Linked DNA regions of Coturnix japonica. The protein of the gene in region 7 interacts with the protein of the main gene of each other region in a pairwise test. Links are inferred from orthologs where the notes say so. Each region holds a gene or a part of one and is shown on either strand. Other genes may lie near its edges. The genes, in order: TRIO, EEF2, NEFM, GNB1, KIF3C, CEP170 and DISC1.

Region 1 (3,500 bases), on a different chromosome or scaffold from region 7:
GACGCCAATGATTTTCAGTGAAGCTTCTCCTAAGTCACTGGGAAATACAATGGCATCCATAAACTTTATATTCAATTTACAGACCTTGAACTATGGAAATTATACGAAGTTAGAGTGATCACATTAATACTTCTTACTGTACAGGTCCTATGCTCTCTCTTCACAAACGTTAAATCTGTCACTGCTATTTCAGAAGTGTCTTTTGAATGAAAAACTGAACATGAGCCATTCGTGTGCTCCTGCAGCTTGGAAGGCCAACATTACCCTCGGCTCCATCAGAAGAGGGGTGGCTAGCAGGGACAGGGAGGTGATTGTCCCTCTCTATCCTGCTCTTGTGAAGCCCAATCTGGAGTACTGCATCCAAGTCTGGGGTCCCCAGCATGGGAAAGATGTGGAGCTGTTGGAGAGGGTCCAGAGGAGGGCCACTAAGTCAGAGGGCTGGAGCACCTCCTCTATGAAGACATGTTGAGGGAGCTGGGCTTGTTCAGCCTGAAGAAGAGAAGGCTGCAAGGAGACCTCATAGCATCCTTACCAGCATTTAAAAGGGGATTATAAACAGGAGAAGAATCAGCGTTTTACAATGGTAGACAGTGATAGGAAAAGGGGGAGGGGGAATGATTTTAAGTTGAAGGAGGGAAGATTTAGGTTGGATGTTGGGGAAGTTCTTTACTATGAGAGTGGTGAGGTGCTGGAACAGGCTGCCCAGAGAGGTTGTGGATACTCTGTCCCTGGAGGTGTTCAAGGCCTGGTAGGATGGGGAGGTTGGTGACCCTGATGTGTCAGAGGGGGTTGGAACTTGATGATCCTTGGGGTCTCTTTCAACCCAAGCCATTCTATGATTCTAATGTTGCTACTTCCAGAGCATTCAACTCTCAGTGGAGACAAGAAGAGCAGTGCAAACACTTGGCAGGCCTTCCCTAGGGTTTTCAACTCTAAGGCTCAAAACAGCCCTAACACTGTGTTGTACACTCACAGTACAGCATATTTTCAAGATTTTCTATTGTTCCTATTATTTGCCTTTGGATCTCAGTTACTCTGAGTTATTTGAGTGCTGGCACAAAAACCACTTGCCATGGTCTTTACCCTGCCACATTTCTGGGGAAATATGAACATGAATTTTAGGAACATGGGAAAATGACCTTCCTCCACAGCTCAAAGGATGTTCAATTATTTTATACTAAAATCTGTCAGCCATAACCAAAATGATTTACTGGTTATAATTCTGTAAAAGTAGTCATAGAATCATGGAATGGTTTGGGCTGGAAGGGACCTTATATCCCATCCAACTCCAGCCCCCCTGCCACAGGCGGAGCTGCCAACCAATAGACCAGGTTGCCCAGGGTCCCAATTCAACCTGGCCTCAAAAGCCATCAGGGATGGGCCATCCATAGCTCCTTGGGGTAATTGTGCCAGTGCCTCACCACCCTAAATGGTTCACAATATGTTAATCCTAGTGAATTTAGCTCTACTCATCTCATAATGGTTGTGGATGCAGTAGTACAGCTATCACAATGCCCTTGTCTCCCCATAGCAAGTACATAGGCTAGACATTTCTTCACACTGAAGTTACTCAGTAAAGAATATTTACTGTAAATAAATGAATGCTTTATCAGAAAAAACCCTTCTTCAACAGGCAATTTAGGATTCCAAAATACAGTAATATCTGCTATTACACATTTGTTTGAATTACCAGTTAGTCTGTTCAGTTCTATTATAGCAAAGCTAAAAACAAACAAAAACATTTGTTTCCGTGCTTCAATTATGAAGATGGTAGCACTGTCATTTTAATAGGAAACAGAAGTTTTTCTTTGCAAAATACTATCGTGTGATCATTCTGAAAGCAGTCATCTGCCCTCAGAATGATGCACACTACTAACAGAAATAAAGGACTGGCAGTGTGGCATGTCACAGCATTGAAATGTCACTCTTTTATTTTTGAGATGTTCAGTGTTGAGAGGAAAAAGAGGAGGATATAATTAAGAGCGACACCCCAAACCTATCAAACCAAATAAGCCACTGAGGTCACTGACAATGATTTTACCTTTTATGACAAGGAAATGTACTACACAGTAATTACTGTACCTGTACGAAATGCTGTGATGACCGTCATTGCTCAGTGTGTTATGATCAGGACCTTTCCAAGTAACTGAAGCCTTGGGACGACCACAGACTTTACACCTAAGCACGATGGTCTCTCCTGTCTCACATGTTACCTCACTCAATGGTATTATAAACTCTGGGGGAACTGGAAAAAAAAAAAAAAGAATATTAATAGCATTAGGTCAACTGAAATTCATCAGTACAATTTGCATTTCTACTCCTTTCATCTTCTCTTTTCTATTAGACAATCTAACATAGCACTTAAAATCCAGAGTTTATCTATTCTTCTACCCTTGGATGATGTCTACAGCTACCTCACTTTCTGAAGCTCTGTAGAATTAATAACTTTTCCTCTTCATGAATTAACTTAATTAAACTTAAACATGATGCTACCACAATGCCAGGTAACCCTGAAGTCTACAGTGGTGACCCAAACACTCTGGGCCAAGTAAGCTAAGCAAAGCCAGCAGTGAAAAGTATTTAAGGATGTGCTCAGCTAGGCAATCTGTGTAGCCAGCTGTGTTTGCAGAAGGGAAGACAAAACATCTCATTTACTGAGGTACTATATTGTTGTTCCTTTTTGCTTACAGGTGAAACTCAAGAAGCTGACTCTTGTCCCAGTGTCACTGTATTTCTCCTGATCAGCCTCTGCCCTGGAGAGACTCTGAGTGTTTGCTAGGGAACAAAGAGCAAAATGAAGTGACAGGTCTCCAACTCCTGACCTCCTTATTTTGCAAATTCAGCTTCAATGCTCAACTTCCTTACAGTCTCAGCACAGATGTGGTAGAGAGTGTAAATCTTTCTGAACAATGTCATGTGATTCTTATATTTTATGATGTTTTGGATATGTAAACAAAAATGCCTTCCTTTCATCTTAAAATAATATGTCATATTTTGTTAACACCCTCCAAAATGAACTTGCTTATATTTTCACTAAAATACTCAGTTTCTGATGTAATTCATGTTAAATACATTTCAATAAAGTAAATGATGTTTCAATCCCATTACATTTGCTGTGACTTTTAAAGATTAAAACAACTTACCATCATAAATGTAATTGGGGTTGAGAAGCTGGAAAGGAGAAATTAAACAATTAATGTCTTTGCAAATGCGTTATAAAAGAATTGTAGAAAATAAAGCACAGTGGTTGGAAGAAGTCATCTGTACCCACGAGTGCCCAATAAACAGAAGAATGCCAGAGTCCCTGTACCACTCTACTTTTTCATCAGTATCCATATGCAGTATTGTGCCTGTGCATTAAGATACCTTATAATCTTGTTGTAATATTGATAAACACCATCCATTAAAACCACTGTTGTTTCTAACTTCTTCACGTGAAGTTCTAACAGAAGCTAGAATTAAAAGCAAGTCTGAAAGCAATTCTAACAGAACTCCTTTTG
Region 2 (4,230 bases), on a different chromosome or scaffold from region 7:
GGATGGCGGGGAGGGGGGGGGCGGTCCCGGGGTGCCGCCCCCCAGCTCCCACCCGTCGAACCGCCCCGCCCGCCGCCGGTTCCGCGCTGTGAGGGGCGGCAGCTGAGCCCTCATCCCGCTCCCGCCCGGCCCGGTCTCTCCGAGCCGCCTCCGCCGCCGCCGTTCACTCACTTTGGCCTCCACCAGCTCCGCCGCCATCTTGGCCTCCAGCGTCCACCGCGCCGGGAGCCGCCGCCGGGTCACGTGACGCCTAGCGGCGAGGGGAGGGGCGCGCGGGAGACGCGTCGACCAATCAATTTCGAGTTCCTCACCTCGGAGGCCGCCGCCGCAACGCGCAGGCGCAATAGAGCCACCCCGCCCCGCTCCGCCTTCCGGGGGTCTTAAAGGGACCGCGCCCCTAAAACGGGACGGAGAGGATGGAGGATGCGGGGATGGAGGGAGGACAGCAGAGCTAATGACAGCTCTCCTGCTTTCTTTTCTTTACCTGTGGGCTGCCTTACATGGGTACGGGGAGAGGGAAGGGGACGGGTTAGGACTGAGGGTCATTATATGCCTATATGTGCTTATAGTCCCAGCTTCTGAGCATGGTGATATTTGTAATGTATTTAGCCTATGGGAGCCGGTGATGGGGATACCTGCCTGGCTGCCTTTCAGCCTAATTGACATCACAGACAGTGTGCTCGGACTGGCTTACCAGTGTCCTGAGTTCCTTACGTATGGCTGGGGTGTCAGGTTGGGTGCTGTGTTGTCAGTCTCTCTGAATACAATCCTAATAACAATAATAATGGGGTCCTAATCCTAATAATAACAATAACACAATGGGGCCAGCAGCGTGTCCCTAAGTTGCAGTGAGGCTCATCAACTAGAAAACATCACTCAAAACCCATCTATTGATAGAGGGATCAGAGGGCTCTATAGATAGAGGAATCTATTGATGTCTCAATAGAAGACCTCCAGTTTTCGAGCTGATATTTGCGCTCCATAACACAGACATCACACTACTTCCATCCCGTGCCTCCATTGCAGCCCCCTGCCCACCCCCGCTCCTCCCGGCCTGCAGGGGGCGCTAGTGAGCTCCATGCCCTCCGCAGTTCCGGCCGGTGCATGCGCACCTAGTCCATAGACGCCGCTATGGGCGGTGCTCGCCCAGCCCGGCCCGGTGCCGCTTTGGACGGCCCAGCGCTCCGGGTAAAGGCGGAGCCGCTCTCGAGGCCTTGAGCAGCGCCCCGGGCACGTTGTCCGGGTTGTACCCGCTGTGACCGCGTTGTTTCCGCTGCGGGTTCTGAGCGGGGACCGCGTGGATCCTGACTGCGGCCCTCGGAGGACCTGACCGCCCGACCATAGAGCTGCCGGCAGCGGGGGGTGCTAGATAGTCGCATCTGCGCACGCGCACGCGTAGGCTCCTCCTTCCGGCCGGCGCCGCCCTATAAAAGGGGGGCGGTTGACGTCAGCGTTCTCTTCCGCCCGCTCTGCGCTCGCCAGCGAGACAGGGCCGCCGCCACCGCCGCCATTGCTGTAACCCCCCGCCCCGGAGAATCCGCCTCCATCCGCCACCATGGTGAGGCCCCGCGTCCCGCCGCCGTTCGGATGGAGCTCAGCGGGTCCCGTGTGGGCTGTGCGGGTGGGGATGTCCGCTCCGGGAGGGCCGGGAGGGTCCCGCTGCGGGGCGAGGCCTAGCGCTGCGTCCCGGGCCGCTGTGAGGGGACACGGGTGGGGCCGGGGCCTGGTGGGGCGCCGTTAACCCGGCGCTCCGTGTATCCCGTAGGGCTTTAATTCCCGGTGCTGTGATGGGGGCCGGGCAGCTCCCGGAGCGATTACGTAACGCTGCGGCTCCTCGGTTTCCCCCTTTAATTAATGAGGGGTGAGGATGGAGGGGGGGCTGCGGTGCATTGAGCGCTGTCAGTGCGGGGGGGTTTGAGGACACATCGCTGGCTGCTGCAGTGCCGGCCCGGCGCTCTGCAGTGCCCTCAGTGCTTCATTCCTTGAGGTTAAACCTGACAGCGCCACGTAGGAAGAAATGGAGCTTTGCTGTTACGTAGCTCGTCTCCCATTCCTCCCTTCTTCCTTTCTTTCCAAGGTGAACTTCACGGTAGATCAGATACGGGCCATCATGGACAAAAAGGCCAACATCAGGAATATGTCAGTGATCGCACACGTCGATCACGGCAAGTCGACCCTGACTGATTCCCTGGTGTGTAAAGCTGGGATCATCGCCTCTGCCCGCGCGGGGGAGACCCGCTTCACTGACACCAGGAAGGACGAGCAGGAACGGTGCATCACCATCAAATCGACGTGAGTGCTGCTCCTTCGGGTGCCCCCCTGTTCCCATCGCACGGACTGACCCTGGGGGTGCTTTGAATCCTACCCTGGTTTCACCTTGAGATGAAGATGATCCCATCAGCCTTTCTCTTGTCTTGTTGTTCAGAGGTTTAGGTTTATTTTTCTTCCCTGCGTGGATTGCTTAAACAAAGGGGCAAGTATTGATTGCCCTGTGGTGAGTCACTGAGCGTTACCTTGATGGCTGCTGGGAGATTGACGTGCTCCTGCAGTGTGACTTTGGCCTCCTGTTTCTGGCACCAGCTGTGTGTAATGGCGCTGGTGGCTGTGAGGTTTGTCTGGTGAGCAGCTGACCTCCTTGGGAGTGTCACTGCCTGCAGGTCCAGCTGCCTCACCATGGACTGATGCTGAGGAGGTGGGAGGGACCAGAAGGGATTTAGGCTGGTGGGAAAAGCAGCTGAGAGGAGGTGCGCTCTATTTGGCAGCTCACGATATCAGGGGGTTATGATTTCAGGGAAGCATAAAAAGCAGAGGTTTTTGTGGATGCTCCTGAGCATCTTCCCCACTCGCCTCTCATGATCATTTCTTCCTGTTATGGGAGGTTTAGGTTGGATCTTAGGAGGATGTTTTTCACCCAGTGGGGGGTGATGCACTGGAACAGGTTGCCCGAGGAGGCTGTGGATGCCCCATCCCTGCAGGCATTCAGGGCCAGGCTGGATGTGGCTGTGGGCAGCCTGGGACCCTACACACAGCAGAGGGTTGGAACTGGATGAGCATTGGGGTCCTTTTCAACCCAGGCCATTCAGTGGTTCATGAAACCCTGGAAGCTGGATGCAGCTGTCTGAAAATAAATAGTAAAGGATACAAGAATGTTTCTAACTGCTTTTGCTTCAGAGTGTTGCAGAGGGGCAATGGGGTGATACTAACAGCTCTTTTTCCCTTTCAGAGCTATTTCTCTGTTCTATGAGCTCTCTGACAACGATCTGGCATTCATCAAGCAGAGCAAGGATGGTTCTGGTTTCTTGATCAACCTGATTGACTCTCCTGGGCACGTGGATTTCTCCTCGGAGGTCACTGCTGCTCTGCGTGTCACTGATGGTGCCCTGGTTGTTGTCGACTGCGTCTCTGGTGAGGTTTTTGCAGCCATGTGTGACTGCAACCTGAGTTGGGTTGATCTGAAGGTGAGGAGAACTAATTGTCCTGTGTTGGGCAGGTGTGTGTGTGCAGACAGAGACTGTGCTGCGTCAGGCCATCGCTGAGAGGATCAAACCTGTCCTGATGATGAACAAGATGGACCGGGCACTGCTGGAGCTGCAGCTGGATCCTGAGGAGCTGTACCAGACCTTCCAGAGGATTGTGGAGAACGTGAACGTCATCATCTCCACGTATGGGGAAGGAGAAAGCGGTCCAATGGGAAACATCATGGTGAGTGAATGGCTGTGGGTGCCCCTTCAGCAGGAGGGAGCAACTGTGTTTGGTAGCAGTGCTTTCCTCCCTCCAGGGGAGGAGTGAGGCTGGAGAAGTGGAGGCACCCATGCAATGAAGAATAGAAACACAAGTGTGCATTCTGTCTAGGAAGGGGTCCTCCTCTTGAAAGGTCTTTCCTTGCTCACCTGACACGGGGCACAGGCCCTGCACTGCATGAGGCTGGATGGCACTTGGGGATGTTGATCCCTTCACTCCCTGCTGGACTCTGAGCTGAGTGCAAGGCCTGTTCAGCTGCAGGTCCTGAGGAAACCTTTGTGCTTTGTTGCTGTTGAGAAACAAACGAATCGTAGATTTTTCTACTGGTGTTTCCATTAAGGATTACAGTCTGACAGGTCTAAGCAGATGTTGAGCCAGTCAGTCCCTCTGGGCAGGTGCTGTCACAGAAGTGCTCAGTGCTTCTGTAGCTCTGAAGCCCCACCTTCAGGCTCTTGGTGGAGGCTTGCAGTGTGTTTGGTTTGCCTGGGC
Region 3 (4,289 bases), on a different chromosome or scaffold from region 7:
TGACAGCATCATATTAATGAGCCAGCAGAGGTCCGGCACTCCATGTGGTTTGCAAAGTTTAACCCTGTCCCTCAGACTTCCCCAACTCTCCACAACAGCAGTAGCAGCACCACGAGCTGTGTGTGCCGAAAAGCAATTTTGAGGTAGGATTTTGTCCCTTAGCAAATCAACTGAAAGCTCACAGATTGCTGAATACAGGCAGACGTGTTTTCAGCACCTTTCCAAACGAGGAGTTAAAACCTACCCCCCCAAAGCTCTGAAATGCAATGGAGCTGTAGCAGTGCAGTGCTTTTTTTCTAGCGCCAGCAGTTTATTTATTTATATATCTATACATTTTCCAGTTTACTGATCCACTGCCCATGTAGCTGATCCATCCACGAGGAGTTCAAAGTCTGGCTGTTAGCTACTGCAAGTCACCGTATGCAGCCCACAGAAAGTCTACTGCACCGTGTAAACATCATTCTTAGCAATGTTTCAAAGTAGGAGAAGTCATTTCTAAGCAATGCACCAAGCGTTATGTGGAAAGGTAAGGTGGGGGGAGGAATAAAGGGGATGAAAGCGAGATAAAGAACCAAGATCCAGGACTGCAGGGAGCTTTCCAGCACTACCCAACCTGCAACCCCTACCCCATAGGGAGGTAAAGCGCTTGCAGTGCTGCAAATCCGCCCGCAGCCCACGCAGTCTCCCTTCCCCGGATACTTTTATGACCTTCAAATGTCAACCACTGCCTGAGGAAGGGGAACTGGGGCGGGGGGAGTTGGTGGGGGGAAATGAGGAGGGGGCTGCCCATGGGACCCTCTATTCACCCCTACCCCCGCCCGGGGCCAACGACGGAGCCCCGGGGGAGCTGTCCGTGGTGCTGAACCCCCGGGGGAGCTGTCCGTGGTTCTGAACCCCCGATCCCGGCCCCGGCCCTACCCTGCGGGCTCCGGCACCGCGCTGCGCTCCGCCATGGCCACTGCGGGGGAGGAGAAAGAACAGAAGGAAAGGGAAAGGAAAGGAAAAAAGGGAAGGAAAGAAGGAAAGGAAAAGGGAAAGGGAAAGAGGAAAGAGGAAAGAGGAAAGAGGAAAGAGGAAAGAGGAAAGAGGAAAGAGGAAAGAAAGTGAAGATCTAAAGGAAGGTGAGGGGAGAAGGGGGCTGAAGCATGAGTGAAGGAACACGGAGAAGGGAAGAAGGGAGAAAGAGGAAGAGAGAAGAGGATGGGAAAAGGAGGATAAGGATAGGGAAAGGAGAAAGAGGATATGGAATAGGGAATGGGAAACAGCGGGTAGGGGGGAAGGGGGTAAAGAGGGTGCAGGGGGAAGGGGGAGCGGGGGTCGGGGAGCCGGGAGCTGGGAGCGGGGGCCGGGAAGGGATGGGATGAGGGAGGCGCGGAAGGGAGGGCGGAACTGAGGGGCGGAGCTGAGGCAGGGTCGGGGGCGGATACATCCTCACACACGTGTGTGGGGCCGCCCCGGAGCCGCCCGGCGGGGCTATAAAAGGGGCAGCGGCATCCAGAGCTGCGCTGCGCTTCCGTCCGCCACCCCCCGAGTGCCCCCACCATGAGCTACACCATGGAGCCCTTGGGCAACCCCTCGTACCGCAGGGTGATGACCGAGACCCGAGCCACGTACAGCCGGGCCAGCGCGTCCCCGTCCAGCGGATTCCGCTCTCAGTCGTGGTCTCGGGGCTCCGGCAGCACCGTATCCTCGTCCTACAAACGTACCAACCTCGGGGCTCCGCGGACCGCTTACGGCTCCACCGTGCTGAGCTCCGCAGAGAGCCTCGACGTGAGTCAGTCCTCGCTGTTGAACGGGGCGGCCGAGCTGAAGCTGAGCCGCTCCAATGAAAAAGAGCAGCTGCAAGGGCTGAACGACCGTTTCGCGGGGTACATCGAAAAAGTGCATTACCTGGAGCAGCAGAACAAGGAAATCGAAGCGGAACTGGCGGCGCTGCGGCAGAAACACGCCGGGAGGGCTCAGCTGGGGGATGCCTACGAGCAGGAGCTGCGGGAGCTGCGCGGGGCCCTGGAGCAGGTGAGCCACGAGAAGGCACAGATCCAGCTGGATTCGGAGCACATCGAGGAGGACATCCAGAGGCTGCGGGAGCGTTTCGAGGATGAGGCTCGGCTGCGAGATGAAACGGAGGCCACCATCCGCGCCCTGCGTAAGGAGATGGAGGAGGCCTCGCTGATGCGGGCGGAGCTGGATAAGAAGGTGCAGTCGCTGCAGGACGAGGTGGCCTTTCTGCGGGGCAACCACGAGGAGGAGGTGGCCGAGCTGCTGGCTCAGCTTCAGGCGTCCCACGCTACGGTGGAGAGGAAGGACTACCTGAAGACGGACCTGACCACGGCGCTGAAGGAGATCCGCGCTCAGCTGGAGTGTCAGTCCGACCACAACATGCACCAGGCCGAGGAATGGTTCAAGTGCCGCTACGCCAAGCTGACGGAGGCGGCCGAGCAGAACAAGGAAGCCATTCGCTCCGCTAAAGAGGAGATCGCCGAGTACCGGAGGCAGCTGCAGTCCAAGAGCATCGAGCTGGAGTCGGTGCGTGGCACCAAGGAGTCGCTGGAGCGGCAGCTGAGCGACATCGAGGAACGTCACAACAACGATCTCACCACTTATCAGGTCCTGCGGGGAGTGGGGTGCGGGCTGGGGGCTGCGGGATGCGGGTGGGGGGAAAGCCGGGGGTGCGGTCCCAACCCGCTGCTGCCGCCCAGTGGGTGGGAAGGACTTTAGGAAAGTCTCGCCGCAACTTTTCTTTCCCCCTTTTCCCTTTCTTTATGTCTTTGTCGTGATGGTTTGTTCTGTCTCGGCTGCAGGACACGATCCATCAGCTGGAAAATGAGCTCAGAGGAACGAAGTGGGAGATGGCGCGTCATTTGAGGGAGTACCAGGATCTCCTCAATGTCAAGATGGCCCTGGATATCGAAATTGCTGCATACAGGTAACAGGGGGATCGTTGTGGGCATGTCTGGAATATTAATAGCACTGCAGAGGCTGCTCTGAGATGCTTTACCACCAGCGAGAAGTATCTGTATGCGTTGAACACGAGCCAAATTAGAGCTTGACTGAAGTACTGCAGCCCTTTCACAATGCACAGACTCAAAAGTGTCTGCAGCCAGGAGGACAATGCAGAACTCCCTATATGCACACTGCACCTCAGTGCTGCACCCTGCGCCTGTTTTGCAGTAGATGAGTTTATTTTTAATTCCTGTTTACTTTGCATATGCCTTGCAAGCGGTGCTTGTCACTTTTCTCACTTGGGAGAGATGCTGTGCTTTGCTTGATCATGGTTTAAGCAGGCAGCGCTAACCTGCTTGTCACAAACACTTTTGCTTTTCTTGCTCAACTTTCCTTTGTCACGCACTCTGATCTGGAGCAGGAAAGCTGTGTGCTATTGCCATCACCTGGCAGGCTTTTGGTCTCTCTGCATCACTTCAGAGACCTCATCAGAACTGCTGATTTTTCTGGGTCAGAGGCTTAGATGAAAAATATACATTTGAATATGAAAACAGTCAAAAGAGAAAGCTGCTTTCAGATCTCTGTGAACTTGAGGCTGTTGAGGCAAGCATAGGCATTATAGGCTCTGCAGCTCTTTGCTGCCTGATGTGACTTGTATTGCTCTGCAGCCCCATTGTATGGCTAAAAGCAGAGAGGTGGGGGTGCCTACAATGAGCTTGGGTGTATGCTTGGCTGGCTTTGAAAGTCTCAGCAATGATGTTCCATTTGGGTCCATTCCATTCTCAGTTCACCTGAGTCATGATGCGTCCTATGGAGTTAATCACTTTCTTTGATGCAAAGGATGAATTTCAACTGCTCAGCTAAAGGTGATATGCTTGCTACATGCAAAGCAAGCCAAAAGGTGCTTGTTCAGTAAGAATTTACTGAAAGAGCTGATTAGAGAGAAGCAGATCTTGGGCTGTGAGCGATGGATAGTGCTGGTCTTCTCTAGCATATTCTACATGCGCTGACCTCATCCTGCTGACAGAGAGAAACATTGTCCCGTAGGTTGGGTTTCTAATGCTCACTATTTTTCCTTCCTGATTCTCTTAGGAAGCTGCTGGAGGGTGAGGAGACAAGATTCAGTGCCTTCTCTGGAAGCATCACTGGACCCATATTCACACACAGACAACCATCGGTCACAATAGCCTCCACTAAAATACAGAAAACCAAAATCGAGCCACCAAAGCTGAAGGTCCAGCACAAATTTGTAGAAGAAATCATCGAAGAGACAAAAGTAGAGGATGAGAAGTCTGAAATGGAAGATGCCCTTGCATCTATCGCAGAAGAAATGGCAGCAAAGGCTC
Region 4 (4,134 bases), on a different chromosome or scaffold from region 7:
GTTATATTTCTGTGGTGACAGAATAGCATCAGTTTGGGGGTCTGGTTGGAGAGTCCTTTATTCTAATTTCTCAGGACAAAGAATTAAAGCCTTTGCTCAGCACTTGGCATATTTAAGGACAAGCATTAGATTATCATAAAACAAAGGCTTAACCACACCGGGATTGAACAGTTATTCCTAACAGACACCTGGAATGATAGCTCACCCACTTCCCTACAGTTTAATGGACAAACCTCTTGTTAATTACAGGTAATCACACCTGCCTTCCCAAAAAACATGATAGCAAGTAGCAGTTCAAATCTGCTCCTGTAGCAAGGCATCTCCTCACTGCCTGACTTAACAAAGTATAAGCAAATGGTGGAGGGGGGAAGGGAGGGAAAGGGATATAGATGTGCTGATAGGAAAAAGATATGATGCAATTGTGTACTTACTTTCCATCAATAAGTAATGATGTTTTAATACGTGAGTGCTGCTGTGATCCCATCTTGTGAACCTCTCTCCTGATTCAGCTGGGGGAAGTCTGCTCTGTGAAACAGAAATTGGATTTTTTTGGGGTTTTTTTGTGTTTTTTGTCTTGCTCTTTTCTGCAATGCCTTACAGAGATGAGCGTTTGTGGGGAGAATATGAAAACAGTGATAAAATGGGGGAAAAAAACCCCAAACCCTGAGAATTCTGGCTGTGCAAAAACCTTTGTGATACGAATTCATAAATAATAATAAATAAAAAACAGGAAGTTGTGAGCTGTGTTGTACCACAGCCTGAAATCTGTGAGGATAATACTGTGACACAACAGGGGTTCGTTTCTTTCCAAGGCCTCGAGCCCCATCCCCTACCATTACACCTAGCAGCCGCCAATTCTTACATTTAATGCTCTTTAACCGAAGTAAAACGGTGTGTGCTGCTCCTCCAAACCTCCCTTTGTCCGTTGAAAAAGCAAAAACAGCGCTGTTGATTGTTCTTTTGCTCCGTTTTCACACGCCCCGTTTAACTCTATGAGGGGACGCTGTGAGGGGACGCTGTGGGCGCGGCAGCATGGCGCGGCGGGGCAGAAAGCGAAACCCGCCCGCGCCCTTTGTTCCTGCTACGGGGAGGAACCAGCGGGAGGAGGCGGCGATGGTTCGAATCTCCCCTTCCTGTCAGCTCAGCCTTCCTCACCGACTGAGTTTGACTGACTGAGCAGCGGCTGCCGCCTTCGAAGCAGCGAGGCCCGAGGCGCAGCTCAACGCCGTCGGTGCCGGCGCCACCGCCCGTAGGGGAACGGAGCGGGGCGGAGCCGGGGGCCGGCTGCGGGGCGGAGCGGGGAGCCGAGCCGAGCCGGGGTTTCCCGGCCGGGCAGTCACGGGCGGGGCGGAGGGGGGGGGAGGTTAACCGCGCCCAGGCTCTTGCTTCCCGATGGCTGCGGGGAGCTGAGCGGGGTCCGAGTGTACGAGGAGGAGCCGAGACCCGGTGGTACCCCCGCCCCGCTCCGTCGCTCCTTCCGTGTCTACGCCCCGGCCCGCAGCCGTTCTGCCTCAGGAGCGCAGCGCGGGCGGCTTCCCCCCTCTCCCCTCCGCCGCCGCCCCTTCCCCTCCTCAGGCCGGCGGGGACGCGGGCAGGAGCCGCGGGCGACGGCTGGAGCGGCCCTGTGGATGAACAGCGGCCGGAAGGGCAGGTAACCGTGTGAAGGGACGCAGGGTGGCGGGCGGGGCGGCCATATAGAATCCTTTGGCGTTCCTATCTCCCCGCAGGGAGTCGAGCCTCCTCGTCGAGCCCCCCGTCCTCAGCGCGGCCCCACCCTGAGGCCATCTTCCCTCAGCGCTCTCCTCCATCCCTGGTTCCTTCTTCCTCTGCGTGGCTGCGCCCTTCCACCCCGCTCCCCTCCCCCCGTTCTTCCCCATTGCTGCCGCACTTCTCTTTTCCCTCCTTCCTCCCTTTTTTTTGTCGTTTTTTCGCCTTTCCTCGCCCATCTTCTCCGTCTCCTCAGCCCTGGGCGGGAAGGGCAGCTCGGCGCCCTCAGCATGGCGGGGTGGAAGGACCCCCCCTTCCCCCGCTTTCCCCCATCGCCGTTCGAGCCTCCCCTAAAAAAGAAGCGTGTTTAGAGCCGGGAGAGGAGGAGGAGGTGGAAAAAAAGGTGGGGGTGGCACCGCTGCTCTCCCGAAGGCGAAAAAAAAGAGAGATTGGGGGGGGGGTGGGTTGGATTTTTGTGGGGTTCCATTTTTAATGATCCTTAAGGGTTGGGGGGGTGAGGACGGTGTGAGTTTCCAGAGGGATCGAAGCGACGGGAGGAGGAACGTTGGGAAGAGAGAGTGAAGGAAAAGAAAGGAGCTGTGGTGTGGCTGCTGTAATGGTGGAAAGCTGACGGAGAGAGAGGAGGGTGAGGCACATGCGGGGTGAGACGGCTCCAGCCCTGCGTGTGGGGTCCTGGGGGGGGGGAACGAAGGGAGGGGGACGGGCAGAAAACGTTTTGTTCCCGTTAAAATGGGAGCCAGGATGCGTTTTGTTGGCACATCCTCGTTCCCCCCATCGCTCTGCATATCGCTGTGCTTGTAGCAGCCGTCAGGAAGATCATGGAGGGTGTTTCCTGCAAGAGGAAAAAGGAGCTTTTTTTCTCCTTGAAGATGTTAATACCGCCTCTGCTCCTGCTTTATTATCGATGGTTTAAAATCTGGTTTATTTCGTCTCCTTTTTAACCCGTGGATTGGGGGTTTTAAATGGGAGGGTTGTTATTTCGTGCTGTGAATTACATTAAAGGGGGAAAAAAAAGAGCCTTTTAATTAAAGAAATAACCCAGCAAGAAATCCGAACGATCTAAAAGATGTCAATTTATTATTCCCGAGGGCGATCTGAAATCTTAACAAACGTGATGTTTCATTATTATTCTTTAGCCATAGGTGGGACTGCTTTAAAATAAGGCATTCTTATGCCACGTTATTATGTATTGTCCCCACAGCAGAAAATAGGAGGAAAAGGGATTGAATGTGAGGGGTCCTGGGGATGGCTCTGGGGAATTGATGCCTCAGCTCGGAGATGGAAAAGCGAAAAATTCAAGGTTTTGCTGCCCCTAATCGTGAGACTTAGCCCTTATTTGAAGCTGATCTGGCAGCCACAAGGATGTGTGCATGGAGACAAAACGCTGCCGATGTGTGTGAAATGCATTGCAGAAAACGCAGCCTCTCTTCAGCTCTCAATTGGTTCGAAATGTGACATCTTAAAGGACTTCTCCCCCCCCCCCCCCTTTGTGCTTTAGGAGAGGAGAAAGAGAAGGGACGATAATAGTGTGGTTGTTTTGGTGGCTGCCGATTAAACCAGGGTGTGTGTTTGATTTTCTTTTCGCTGGGAATGAATGGATCTTTCTGTGCCTGGGCCCAGTAGCTGCAACAAGATGGCGTTTGCAGCAAGGCAGCTCTCATTTTTCAACTCCTCCTCACCACAGCTTGGCCAAACTCGATCTTATTTCGTAATTGTATTTAGATTTACTTTCTCGTTGGGTTTGCTTGCTTCTTTTTTTGGGGGTTAAGAGGGGCAGGAGGAGCGTTTGGGAGATTATTGCAAGAAATCGGTGGGTTTTTGTTTTATTCTTTTTTTTTTTTACGTTTTTTTGTGAGCCTTTCCAGATAGGAACTGGGTGGGAGGAGTAAATAGTTTTAGTGTAACATTCACATCGGCCGTTCCTGGACAAAGAGGTGACACAATTTTGAGGTTTTTATTGTGTTTTTTGTGTATTTTTTTTAACCTTGCAGTTCCTGCTTAATACCATCAAAATGTTCTTTGTTTTTCTTAAGCCTGTTGCTGGAAAAAAATGGTATTTTTAACCTAGAAGACAGGTATGCAAAGGCTTTCCTGCCTTTGTGCTGCTGGTTCCTGCTGCTCAGGTAACAGCCAGGTCTCCTGCAGGCGGTTCCCTCCATGGAACATCGAAATCTCCCATCGAAATCTCCCATCTCACTCAGTGCTTGTGGTGGGCGGAGGCTTTTTAGGCTTCTTTTGGCCCCAAATTGTTACCATCCTTCTGTATTTTTATGGGTATGAGTAAGAAAGGCTTTAGGGATATTAAAACAGTTCTGTGTCTCTGTGATACTGTAAGATAATATGGAGATTTATGATATTATAGCTTTGAATTTATTTTTTTTAAGGACCTTGGGTTGATAATTTTGG
Region 5 (3,500 bases), about 60 Mb from region 7:
GGTGTAATGGGTGACCCCAGTGGCACTGGAGCCGCCAGGACATGGTGGCATGACCTTATGGCACAGATGTCCCCAAAATATGGTGGTATGGCTGACCCCCAGGCACTGGTGTCCTCAGGGCATGGTGGCATATGCATCCCTGGTGGCACAGGTTACCCCAGGGCATGATGACATGAGTGTCTGCAGGGCACGGTGGCACAGGTGTCCCCAGTACCATGCCTGGAGCATCCTCCAGGGCATTGGGTCCCCATGGATAGTGGGTAGGACATATGCCCCCAACTTTGAGACATGAGCCAAAGGCAACTCCACATCCCTCCCCACCCGAGTGAAGCCTCCCTGGTTCTCTCACCTTCTTCAGTTTTTTGGTCTTGATCTCCACCTCCTGTTGCAGGGATGTGTAGGTCTCCCGCAGCTCCATGGTCTCCTCATCCCTAAGCAGCATCTCCTGCTGCATCTCCCTCTCGCGGCGTTTCTGTAACCAAGGGGGGGTTGCTCAGTGTTGGCTTGGGCACTGACCACCCCACGGACCCCCTAGCCCCACCATGGACATTCTGGCCCCATGGATGCTCCCAATCCATTGGGACTGGGATGGATGGGGTACTACCTGCTCAGCTATCTCTTGCCGCTTCAGCTCCAGCATCTTCTGCTGCTCATTGGTGTGGTCCACGATGGTCCTGCCGCCGATCAGCAACTTGCTCTCCATGGCCTGGGGAGGGCAGATTGGGGGGGGTCAGTGCATCTCATGGAATCACTGAATCACAGAATGGTTGGGTTGGAATAGACCTCAAAGATCATGAAGCTCCAACCCCTCTGCGGCATGCAGGGCCACCAACCTCCCCATTCAATACCAGCCCAGGCTGCCCAGGGCCCCATCCAACCTGGCCTTGAACACCTGCAGGGATGGACGGGGCATCCACAGCCCTTCTGGGCAGCTGTTCCAGCACCTCACCACTCTCTCTGTAAAGAACTTCTCCCTGATATCCAACCTAAATCTTCCCTCCCTCCTTGAACTTCAAACAAATTCCCCTTGTTGTTACTACCTACCCTTGTAAAGAGCTGACTCCCCTCCTGTTTATAGGCTCCCTTTAGGTACTGGAAGGCTGCAATGAGGTCACACCCCACAGCCTTCTCTTCTCCAGGCTGAACAAGCCCAGCTCCTTCAGCCTTTCTTCATAGTAGAGGTGCTCCAGCCCTCTGACCATCTTTGTGGCCTCCTCTGGACCCTCTCCAACAGCTCTTTATCTTTTACTGGGGGCTCCAGACCTGGACACAGCACTGCAGATGGGCCTCACAAGGGCAGAGAGAGACAATCACCTCCCAATCCCTGCTGGCCACCACTCTTCTGATGGAGCCCAGGATACCATTTGCTTTCTAAGCCACAAGAACACACTGATGACTCATGAGAAGTTTTGAATCCACCAGGTCCTTCCCTGCAGGGCTACTCTCAAGAACAGCTCCTTCCAGTCTCTATATATGTCCAGGATTCCTCCAGCATCTCTACAATGTACTGTCCAAGGGTTCAAAAACTCAGACACAAGGTTTGAGTGGTTCTGGTACAGCCAGGAGTTGAGCTGGATGGTCCTTAAGGGTCCCATCCAACTCAGGATATTGTATAGTTTGGTGATTCTGAGCCCCCCCCCCCAACCCCATCCTGCTCCCTGTACTGATGGATGCGGCGCCGTGGGGACGTGGCCAGGGCTGCTGGCTGCTGGCACAAACCCAGGGCTGCCTCACTCCCACTTCCTTCCGCACAGCTGCAAGCCCGCGGGGCGCCACGGATGTGCAGCAGCTGCCGGCAGTGCGGAACGGCGCCGGGCCATCCGCCCCAGCTGAGCTGAGCCAAGCCGAACTGTGCCAAGCTGAGCTGAAAAGTGCATCCCAACCACAGTTTGCATCCCACGGTGCTTCTGATTTGAGCTCCCCACTCCAGCTCTGCCAGGATGCCTGAAGGATGGCACAGTGCTGGGTACAGGGGGCTGCCATTGCTTTTTTGGTTGACCCAGTCCCAGCCTGTACGCCCACACCCCACCCCAGTCTCATCCATTCCTTCTCCTCATCCCATCCAGTCTCATTCCAACCCCATTCTCCATTCCCATCCCATCTTCTCCTAACCCAACCCCAATCCCATCCCCATTCCATTCTCCATCTCCGATCCCCATCCCCATCCTCATCCCTCAGTCCCATCCCCCTCCGCATTCCAGTCTTCTCAAATCCCTTATTCCCATCCTGCCCCACCCCACCCTCACCCCAGTCCATCCCATCTCAACTCACATTCTCATCCCCATCCCCATCCCTATACTTCACCCCTCATCCATCCCACCATCACTTCTTGTCCTATCCCATCCCATCCCACCTCAACTTCATCTCATCCCAACCCCCCCCATTCCACCCCACCCCATCCAACTCCATCTCACTTCATTCCAACCCATTCTCCACCCCTCCCTATCCCGTTCCATAGTTCCATCCACCCCTACCTCTCCACCTCCCACTTTTCATCCTAACCCACCCCATCCTACCCCTCCCAATTGCATTTCCCTTCCCCCTCCCCAGGGCAAACGTGCTCCCCATCACACAGCTGTGCACACACATCACTGAGCGCGCACACACACACACACACAGTTTTCTTTCTGTTTTTTACACTACATCACACAGCGACACCTAACACACATTTCTGCATGTCCACGACATTTGTGCACACACGAGCGCACGCTAATTTACACCGCTGCACGCATACATCCGCACGCCCACGTGTGCTGGCATTTGTGTGCATACACACACACATTTACACCCACACATCTGCACACACCCTTGGACCATGGGATGTGACAAAGGCTGTGCCCCCCCGGGACCCCTTCACTGCTGTTTCCAAGCAACCAGGAGACACGCGGGCGGTGACGTGGTGCAAAGGGGGGACAGCATCTCCTGGGCACGGAGGTTTCTGGGGCAAACCCACAGAGCTGCATGTAAATTATCTGGGGCAATACTGCATTTTCCCTATTATTCTCCTGTTTTTTTTTTCTCCCTTCCCAGCTATTGCATGGGTACTTTTGGCATGCAGCACCTGCAGTATGTGATGGTGAGCTGCTATGGGGTTGAGAGGGGCCATAAACCCCACAACCAGCTCTGCCCCACCCTGCTGCTGCAGGAATGGTCTTTTGGTCCTGTTGTTTTTCTCCCTGCAGAAGTGTTTGTTTACTGTGATGAAGACGACGCTCAATCTTCCTTAATACAGATGAACCCTTAAGCCTCTCACTGCAACCCATTTCCTGCCTCCAGATAACTCCTCCAGCACTGGCCTGTGCCCTGAGCTCCCAGGATTGTGGTGCTGACATTACAGCCCATGGCACTGTCCCCCTGTGGCTACACCATGGATGTGGCAGATGCTGGGAGCTTTGCTTTGAGATGGAGGCTGCTGCCTCCTCTGGATGGAGCGCATCCGTCTGAGCAGGACAGTGCACATCTGTCTGCCTGCAACAGTGCACATCTGTCCGAGCAGGATG
Region 6 (3,964 bases), about 4.0 Mb from region 7:
GTGACCTCATCACTCTCAGCAACTGCCTAAAGTGAGATCGTAGTGAGGAGAGGGTTGGCCTCTTCTCATGCATAACTAGTAATAGGACTAGAGGGAAGTTGCACCGGGGAAGACTCATGTTGGACATTAAGAAAAATTCACTCTCAAGACGAGTAGTAATGCACTGAGACAGGCTGCACAAGGAGGCGGTGGAGGCATTCAGGAATTGCGTGGATGCGGCACTGAGAAACACAGTTAGTGGGATGATGGGGACAGGTTGGCAGCTGACCGGATGATCCAACAGGTCTCTTCCAACCTTAATAATTCAGTGAAGTTCGTTACAGAGCACCTCAGAAACCACCAAGAGAGCTGCAACTCGTGACAAACAGCCCGTCACAGCAGTCACAGCTCACCAGACAAAACACTTCCAAGTTCGTTCTAATTTCACTAGAAGCTCCGACTCCCGCGAGCACTTGATGAAAAACCCAAACCTCAGGAAAGCCACCTCGGGCCGCTACAGCGGAGCGCAGCACAGCAGCACACGGCAGCACGGCAGGAGCCGCAGCGCGTCCGACCGCCGGCGGGCTCCCACCCGGTGCCGGGCCGTGCAGGAGCGGCCCGTTCTCACCCGCCCGCAGCGCCGCGCTCACCTCGGAGCCGCGCCTGGTAGCGCTGCAGGGACTCCTCCAGGGCGGGCTGCCCGCGAGGCGCCCGCATCGGGCCGCCACCGACCGCCAGGAAGGAAGGACGCGCACCGAACTTCCCGGCGCTGCCCCGCGGCACTGAAGAACCGCTACTCGCACGAGCTCCCTCCCGTTGCTACAACACCAACCACCAGCCGCACCCCGGTACACGCGATACACAGCCCGCCCCCAGCCGCTCGGTGCACGCTGGGAGGCGTAGTCCCCACCCGCTCCCCATGACGGGGACCCGCACCGCTTCCCTTCCCCTCTTTGTTGTGGCTGGGCGCTGACGCCGCCCTCGCGCCTGCGCACTGCGCACTCCTGCCGCCCACGTCCCCGCTCCCGCAGCGGCTGATGGCGGCGCAGGCCCCGCTCAGACCGAGGGGCGGCGCCCGCCGCGCTATTGTCTGAACGGGGCGCATGCGCGGCTCCGCTTCCCCCGGCTCTGCCCCCCGCGCCTGCGCGGCGCCGTCCGCCCTTCGCGCCCCCCCCGCATTGTGTGAGTTGGGGCGGCGCCTGCGCAGCGCGGCGCGGCTGTGCCCGTTAGCCGCTATGTGCCGGGAATAACGTTGCCGCGGTTGCCGGAGGAACGCGGAACGGAGCGCCCCGCCCAGCGGGGCCGCACGCTCAGCGAACAGCCGGAGCCGCCGCTATCGGCAGCGGGTCGTCCCCGCGGCGCGGAGAGCCTCCTCGGAGGGGTGAGCGGGGGAGCGGGGGGAGAAGCGGGGCCGGGGTCGCGCCGCCCATTGTGTCAGCGGGTGCCGGGCGGGCCGCGCGCCGCAACGCGGAGTCCGGTCGTAGCCGCGGGGCCCGGAGGCCGCCCCCGCCTCCATCCGCCCTCGGCATCGCGCTGGGAGGCGTGGGGCGGCGGCGGGGCGGGATGCGGTGCCGCCCCTCCGGCCCTGGCCGCCGGCACACACCCCCCGAGCCGCCGCCGCGCCTCCCTCGGGTCCCAACGCGCCCTCGGCGGCGGTGTCCGCGCTACGGCGGTCAGCTGACGGACAGGGCGGCTGATGGAGAACGGCCGCCTGCGCCCTCTCCCCATTGTGCAGCCCGCCAGGCCAGGAGGCTCCTCTGCTCCGCGCCGTCCTCCCGTGTGTCCTCGCTTCTCCCCTTGGTGCAGCGCGGCACGGCCGCCCCCTCCTCCTCGCGGGCGGTCGGGGCCCTCACGGGGCCCGCGAAGCTCCGGGCGGGGCGGGATGGCGCGGTTACCGAAGCCCCGCAGCGCCGTGCTGCTCGATACGGCGTCACGGGCTGTGGGTGCGATGCTGCCGAACGGGAGACAAAAAGAGCAGCCCCCTTGTGACAGCCCAGGGAACACAGAGAGCAGCCGCCGCACGGCGGTGTGAAGGTGTTTTCTTTGCTACGAATAAATATTGAAGCGGTTTGTAAGACGAAAACGTGCTGCTGGCACCGTGGTAGACAGTGGACATGGCCTTCCGAGGGCCGCTCTGACAGCGCTGCTGGCCCAGAGCTCGCCTGTGTGGGATGGGGCTCCTTGTGTAAACTGAGCTGAGGCGTGAGCGCATATGCAGCGATTTCCTGTGATTAATTTCCTCTGGGAATTGCTGTCCAGATGCTGAGGAGCCCAAACTGCGGGGAACTGAGCTGTCACCATGGGAGCTGCTCAGCTTCGAATTCTATTTAACAACGGTTCTGTCTGAAAGGGGTCACAAAGCCACCTCACTGGGTGGGGAGAAGAGCGTGGCTGAAGATGCATAGAAATCTATCCAAAGCAAAGCAATGAGGTATTATTGTGTTTTTTCCCTCTCATTTCTCAACTACCTAAAAGTTATTTGTAAGGGATCGGATACAAATATTTTCTCATTCTTTTAAGAGAAATATTATGGTTTACAAGTTGTTACCAAGCTTCCTTTCTTGTGGCAGCACAGGGATTTCTTTGATGACTGTTCCAGTTGTTTTGCAGGTGCCGCCTGCCTCCCTTATCTGCTCAGGCTGAGGTTTGTGAATCAGAGTAGTTTCTCACTATCTTGTGCTTCCGGACTGTGAGAGACGTGGCATAAAGGATTTTAACAGTTCTCTTGGTAACATATGAGCTGGAAAAGAGCCAAGTTATGAAAGGGAACTACAAAAGTTGATGTACGCTTGCAGGTGGAAGCTGGGAGCTTCCCTGAGTGACAAGAGCTCAATCTAATACATGGGTAGCTGCAGAAACTGATTTTGAAGTTCCATTTCTAGTTTTTGCAAACAGAGGGGAAAAGTACTTAATGTGAATGGATACCACTATGTCTGCTTGGGTCCCTAAAGAGAACTATTGCAGTATCAGCACCACCTTCCTTGGCTCTGCAGGCAGAATGACACTGGAGTGAAAACAGACTAGTTTTACTTAAACCAAAAGGCCAACAGAATCTGAAATTCTGCTTTCTCAATAGAAAATGTTGGGCAGGAGAGCATCATGGCACAGATTCTTTTATCTGCTTCTGACATCTGTGAGCCGCTCTCTGTAGAACGTGCTGCTTGTTGTGCTAAATGTTGGTGTGGCTGGGACCAGGAAGCTGCAGATGAGGGAAGAAAGTCTTTTGTCTGTGAGGGATGGAGCTTCTGTCTGCTGAAGTCAGGTGCATGTCTCTTCTACAGCGTCCTATGGCTGTGCCAAGCGAGTCTGGGAGGTGTCTCTTGCTGCCTGCCAAGTTTATAATGCTCGTACAGAGCACCTGCGCTCCTTCTGGTCCTGTGGTTGTTGCTGTATCTTGCATTGTCATGTTCTTTGAACATCTTCGATGGCGTGATGTGCAGATAGCAGCTTCCTTCTGTGTGCAGCGCTCGTGCTGCTGTGGGTCAGAGACCACGCAGTGTGCTGAATGAGCCGGTTGTCCTGGGAAAAACAGAGCGTGGTCACATGGCTTGAATTGTAAGGTATAATGTATGCAAATGGGGCTGGGAGGAAAGCACAAACTACTTAATTAATCAGTTCTGTGTATGTCTGCTGTATAGACACAACAAAATATTAAAATCACAAATGTTTGGTTCACTTTTATCATATAGTTTCTTCCAACGTGTCCTCTTTTAAGCTGGGAGGCTGTTTTTATTTTAGAGATGCATTTATAGTTAGAGGCCATAAGACACTTTTATTTCAAATTTTGTTTGATCTTCAAAAAAATAAAACAACCAACCAACACGTAAATTAATTTTAAATTAATTTAAAAGCACATTTAAATTAATGTGCTTTATTTTAATCTTGCATTATGTCAAAAGCAGTTTGCCCCAGAAACTTCAAATAAAACCATCAGAGATATTTTATTGGATGGCTCCTGATGCTGCAGTGCTTTGTTCAGGCTCTT
Region 7 (3,992 bases):
TATGACAAATTGATCTCTGAGTGATGGGAGCTAGTACTGATATAAGCTGACATCATCTGAATCAGCAGCAGCACTGCACATTTGATGAAAGGAGGATGTGTGTCTATTTTTGGCTTGTGAGGCACAGCTGTCTATTATATTGTCTCATAAGTCAGGAAGGGCAGAGCCTGGAGTATGAGGTTACATCTCTCTTAACACGTCCTGTATTTCTTAATAAATGGACTGAAACACAAGAATATCAGTAAGCTCTTAGCTGTCAACTAAAGCGAGGCTTTTCTGTAGCAGTGTCTCTGAATGTCATAGAAACTTCTCAGCACACAAGGTGATGTTTTAATGTATGGTAGCACTATGCATAACTGAGAAGGCACCTTTGAAGTCTAGGATGGAGGGCACCTTGAAAAATGCTTAACATGAAATTAATACTGAAAAATGGTTGATATAGTGAATATGGTGATAGCCAAGGAGTGATTCAGGTTGGATAACAGGGAAAATGTCTTCTCCCAAGGAGTAGCGAGGCACTGGCACAGGCTGCCAGGGAGGTGGTGGAGTCACCATCCTTGAAGGTGTTCAAGAAACGTGGCACCAAGGGATGTCATCTAGTGGGCATGGTGGGGGTGGGCTGATGGTTGGACTGGAGGATCTTAGTGAAGTTGTGGTTTGACTTCAATGGATCACAGACTTGCAAAAGTAATAGCGATAGGACAAGGGGGAATGATTTTAATTAAAAGATTTAGATCAGATATCAGGGGAATTTTTTTCGCTGGGAGAGCAGTGAGGCCCTGGCACAGCTGTCTGCCTGGAGGTACCTGAGGCCAGGTTGGATGGGACCCTGGGCAGCATGAGTTGATGTGGGGCAAGAGGTTGGGGCTGGATGGGCTTTAAGGTTCCTTCCAACCCAAGCTGCTCTGTGACTCTATGAGAAGTAATGGAAGCACACACAGTGCAGACACTGGTGCCAAGTTGAAACTACATATAGACAATGAGCAGCGTGTTTCCTCGTTGTGTGCGTGCCGTGCTGAATTCAGAAACGATCTGCAGTCGGGGCTTCGGGTCCCAACCTCCATCTCCCCCTGCTAGTCCAAAGCCCGTACGCTGCAGGCTTGAGGCTGCCCCCGGCTCGCAGGAGGCCGGCCCGGAGGAGGGGCGGCGGGTGCCGTCGTGCGGGCCGCGCCCCGTGGCTCCGAGCCGCCGGGGGAGTGGCCGGGGCCGTCGCTTTCCGCCCCGCTCGACGCGACCGGGGGGAGCCGCTTCGTCCCGCCGGGGGGCGGGATGTGGCGGCCGCAGCCCCGTTCGGACGGCACCGACAGGCGGCGCCGCGGCAGCGGGAGGGAGGAGACCGGCCCAGGTGAGCGGGGCCGGGGGCTGAGGGGCGGCCCAGCGCCTGGGAGGGGGGCCGGGGGCCGGGAGCGCAGCGGGGCTGTAACGGTGCCCGGTCCGTCCCGCAGCGGCTCTCCCCGAGGCAGGAGGGGCTCCGAGTGGGATCCGAGCTTCGGGTGGGTAGGGCGGCTTTGGGACGCTCGGTGCGGGCGGAGGGGTTAGATACAAAGACTCGTTGCTTGCTTCTTAGTTTCAAACCCGCTTTGCTTGCTTAGTTTTCACTCCCCGGAGTTTTTGTCTTGGCGAGGGTTAGCACGGTGTTGCCTAGGAAACTTTGTTATAACTCTGAAATAACACTTTTTTTTTTTCCTTCCTCCTTGTTTTAACCCCAAAATTCCACCTCTGTTAGTGTGGAAGCAATTATATTACTACATAAATGTGTGTGATTTGTAGGTTTGTATGTATATACACAAACATATATAAGTGAGTGTGTATATGTATATACATCTACATAACCAACTGCTGTGAGGGAAGTAGACATGCTCTTAGAAGTCAGCAGTCTGGTATCTCCGAACTTGGTTTAAAAAGGAAGCTGCCATATTCGTGGGGAAAAAGCCACGTTTGTGTGTCAGTCCTTGCATAAATGAGCACTGAATGGTGTGGCTGGCAGAGCAGGTGAGCTGCTCTCCCCTCTATTGCTCAGCTGTCAGCCTGAGCAGGAGTCATTTCTGATAGTAGTACCGGTGAGGGGCTGGAGCTGTGGGTAACACCAGAAAATAGCTCGATCTTCTCAAAGGGATTCAGAAGGGAAGGCGTAGAATGCATCAGGCACATCAGCTGACTTTCTGGCTTTTTTGGATACACAGTACTGCAAAGCAAAACTTCCTGCAAACACTTGAGTTGTCCTTGCCAACATCTCAATGGAGAGCAGCTCATTGATGTTGGGTAATCCGTGCTAATCTGTGTGTACATGTGTTTGAGTAACTTTTTGCTGTGCTTCTGAACAGTGCTTTAAGAGCTCTTTAGTGAAGTGCCTTTATAATAAAAGCTTTTCTATGCATATAAGTGAGCATATACTGGCAAGCACTGCTGGCAATTGAAAATAGAGTTTTGAAAGAGATGCATAAACTACCTTGAGATGCATTATCTCTGTTCTTGTCTCTTCATATTTGTCCGTTTACTTGCTAATTTGCAATTGGCCTTTCAGTAACTTGTGAAAATGGAAGAAAAGTTCCTCTTTATTCACTTTTGTGTTGTGTAATTTCCAAGTCTAGGTAGTTATTTCATATCAGTGTTCCCCCATATTATTGCTGAAATCAAAGCTGTGGTTTCTTTTGGGAAGAGACTGATGGTGGTGTTACAGCCCGAGTTCCAGTCATCATTTCCTATCAATAGGATTTTTAGGCAGTTTTGAAACTAAGAAGAAAGGTGTTTAAATATGTGATTTAAAGAGACAACTAGCTGAGCTTAGAGGTCTGTGATCCTCTAAAAAGTGGGACTGGTGGATGTAAAGGAACCCACAGATGTTCTGTGCATTTGATATTGTCGGTGTCCATCTCTGTGTGTTTTTTCTTGCTTTGTGTTGCTGTTAAACTTACTCATTTTTTGTGTAGTTCCTTTAGATTGGCCAGTGAAAATAACCTACTGGCATACACTGTACTACTGAGTTACACAGCAGCACAACACTCTGAAGTGTGGTCATAGACAAGCACTGTATTGCCACTGGCTTCTTCCCTCTTTAACTTCACATAAATCAACCTTTGTTCCCTTCAGCAAAATGAAGTCAGAAAGTTTGGGCCTAAGACGCTGCCTCTGGAATTGTAGTGGAGTCGTGCAAGAAAAGAGGATTTATTAACACCAGTATGAATTAATTGTAATGAACAGAAGGACGGAAAAGCACCGCAAACAATGTTTTGTACTCACAAAAGCAGAGCACCCTGAAGGTTAATTCTGACTTTGTTCACAAATTAGGCACACTCGGGTAGGTTTTTCTTTTTGCTCACCGTAGCTCAGGCCTCCTGCAGCTCTCGAACCACCTGACCTCCCAGTTGGGATCTACTGGAGTGTGTGGTGCACCCTGAGTGCTCATCAGGAGTTAGGATTTTTCTTTTCATTTTGGCATTTGGTTTTCTTGAGCAAATGTTCATCCCAATTGAGTGGCGGGCAGTCTGCAGCCTTTCCTGCTTTTGGATGTTGTACATATTAACACCTCCTGTGACAACAGCTTTCCTTGCTTCCTTTGGAGTACCAGGCCCAAAGGTAAACAGGGAGGAACCTGTGGTGTTGCCATAGAGATTTCCGAGTTCATCCTTAGCTCTTTGCAGAGAGCAGCCCTTTCTTGCTGTGTCACCTGGATTAGGATTGAGCCTGGGGTATGCTGTAATACTACTCAGTGTTCTCGAAGGCAAACTGCTGCAAAACCCTTATGTGTGAGGGATGAATGTGTCCTTTGTAAATCAGCAGTCACACAGGAAAAACTTGGCTCTCTGGTACTGAACAAAGGCTGCTGTGCCTGTGTGAAGTTCTGTAGTATCCTTGTTTGGAGGTGCTTACTTAATTCAGTGTAACATTTAACAGTGTGCTTTGTGCTCTGTTTTGTCATATAGGCACAGGTTGTGTTAATTGCTCACCTGAAAAGTGCTGTCAGGGAGAGATGTTTCTTTACCAAGTCTCCC

The links.
Region 1: the proteins of DISC1 (region 7) and TRIO interact in binary tests that used the Homo sapiens proteins (3 or more experiments, as listed by UniProt). The link is inferred for Coturnix japonica from reciprocal best matches to the Homo sapiens genes DISC1 and TRIO.
Region 2: the proteins of DISC1 (region 7) and EEF2 interact in a two-hybrid assay, tested with the Homo sapiens proteins (2 studies listed by BioGRID and IntAct). The link is inferred for Coturnix japonica from reciprocal best matches to the Homo sapiens genes DISC1 and EEF2.
Region 3: the proteins of DISC1 (region 7) and NEFM interact in a two-hybrid assay, tested with the Homo sapiens proteins (2 studies listed by BioGRID and IntAct). The link is inferred for Coturnix japonica from reciprocal best matches to the Homo sapiens genes DISC1 and NEFM.
Region 4: the proteins of DISC1 (region 7) and GNB1 interact in a two-hybrid assay, tested with the Homo sapiens proteins (2 studies listed by BioGRID and IntAct). The link is inferred for Coturnix japonica from reciprocal best matches to the Homo sapiens genes DISC1 and GNB1.
Region 5: the proteins of DISC1 (region 7) and KIF3C interact in binary tests that used the Homo sapiens proteins (3 or more experiments, as listed by UniProt). The link is inferred for Coturnix japonica from reciprocal best matches to the Homo sapiens genes DISC1 and KIF3C.
Region 6: the proteins of DISC1 (region 7) and CEP170 interact in binary tests that used the Homo sapiens proteins (3 or more experiments, as listed by UniProt). The link is inferred for Coturnix japonica from reciprocal best matches to the Homo sapiens genes DISC1 and CEP170.

What each region holds. Positions count from the first base shown.
Region 1 is NC_029517.1:54,052,804-54,056,303, reverse strand, and holds part of TRIO (triple functional domain protein), read right to left. Parts: intron 3,172-3,500; coding exon 3,144-3,171; intron 2,246-3,143; coding exon 2,083-2,245; intron 38-2,082; coding exon 1-37. UniProt on the Homo sapiens protein: Guanine nucleotide exchange factor (GEF) for RHOA and RAC1 GTPases. Involved in coordinating actin remodeling, which is necessary for cell migration and growth. Plays a key role in the regulation of neurite outgrowth and lamellipodia formation.
Region 2 is NC_029543.1:792,036-796,265, forward strand, and holds the start of EEF2 (elongation factor 2), read left to right. Parts: upstream 1-1,430; 5' UTR 1,431-1,555; coding exon 1,556-1,558; intron 1,559-2,077; coding exon 2,078-2,292; intron 2,293-3,223; coding exon 3,224-3,405; intron 3,406-3,490; coding exon 3,491-3,702; intron 3,703-4,230. Other genes in the region: E3 SUMO-protein ligase PIAS4, read right to left, coding at 172-198. UniProt on the Homo sapiens protein: Catalyzes the GTP-dependent ribosomal translocation step during translation elongation.
Region 3 is NC_029537.1:2,110,435-2,114,723, reverse strand, and holds the start of NEFM (neurofilament medium polypeptide), read left to right. Parts: upstream 1-1,489; 5' UTR 1,490-1,542; coding exon 1,543-2,607; intron 2,608-2,801; coding exon 2,802-2,926; intron 2,927-4,035; coding exon 4,036-4,289. UniProt on the Homo sapiens protein: Neurofilaments usually contain three intermediate filament proteins: NEFL, NEFM, and NEFH which are involved in the maintenance of neuronal caliber.
Region 4 is NC_029536.1:1,629,005-1,633,138, forward strand, and holds the start of GNB1 (guanine nucleotide-binding protein G(I)/G(S)/G(T) subunit beta-1), read left to right. Parts: upstream 1-1,334; 5' UTR 1,335-1,651; intron 1,652-2,183; exon of another isoform or gene 2,184-2,353; intron 2,354-4,134. UniProt on the Homo sapiens protein: Guanine nucleotide-binding proteins (G proteins) are involved as a modulator or transducer in various transmembrane signaling systems.
Region 5 is NC_029518.1:95,741,717-95,745,216, forward strand, and holds part of KIF3C (kinesin-like protein KIF3C), read right to left. Parts: intron 707-3,500; coding exon 605-706; intron 473-604; coding exon 350-472; intron 1-349.
Region 6 is NC_029518.1:31,700,207-31,704,170, forward strand, and holds the start of CEP170 (centrosomal protein of 170 kDa), read left to right. Parts: upstream 1-1,164; 5' UTR 1,165-1,360; intron 1,361-2,296; exon of another isoform or gene 2,297-2,410; intron 2,411-3,964. Other genes in the region: SDCCAG8 (serologically defined colon cancer antigen 8), read right to left, coding at 630-696.
Region 7 is NC_029518.1:35,652,806-35,656,797, reverse strand, and holds the start of DISC1 (disrupted in schizophrenia 1 protein), read left to right. Parts: upstream 1-1,192; 5' UTR 1,193-1,269; coding exon 1,270-1,345; intron 1,346-1,376; exon of another isoform or gene 1,377-1,493; intron 1,494-2,159; exon of another isoform or gene 2,160-2,237; coding exon of another isoform or gene 2,238-2,262; intron 2,263-3,992. UniProt on the Homo sapiens protein: Involved in the regulation of multiple aspects of embryonic and adult neurogenesis. Required for neural progenitor proliferation in the ventrical/subventrical zone during embryonic brain development and in the adult dentate gyrus of the hippocampus.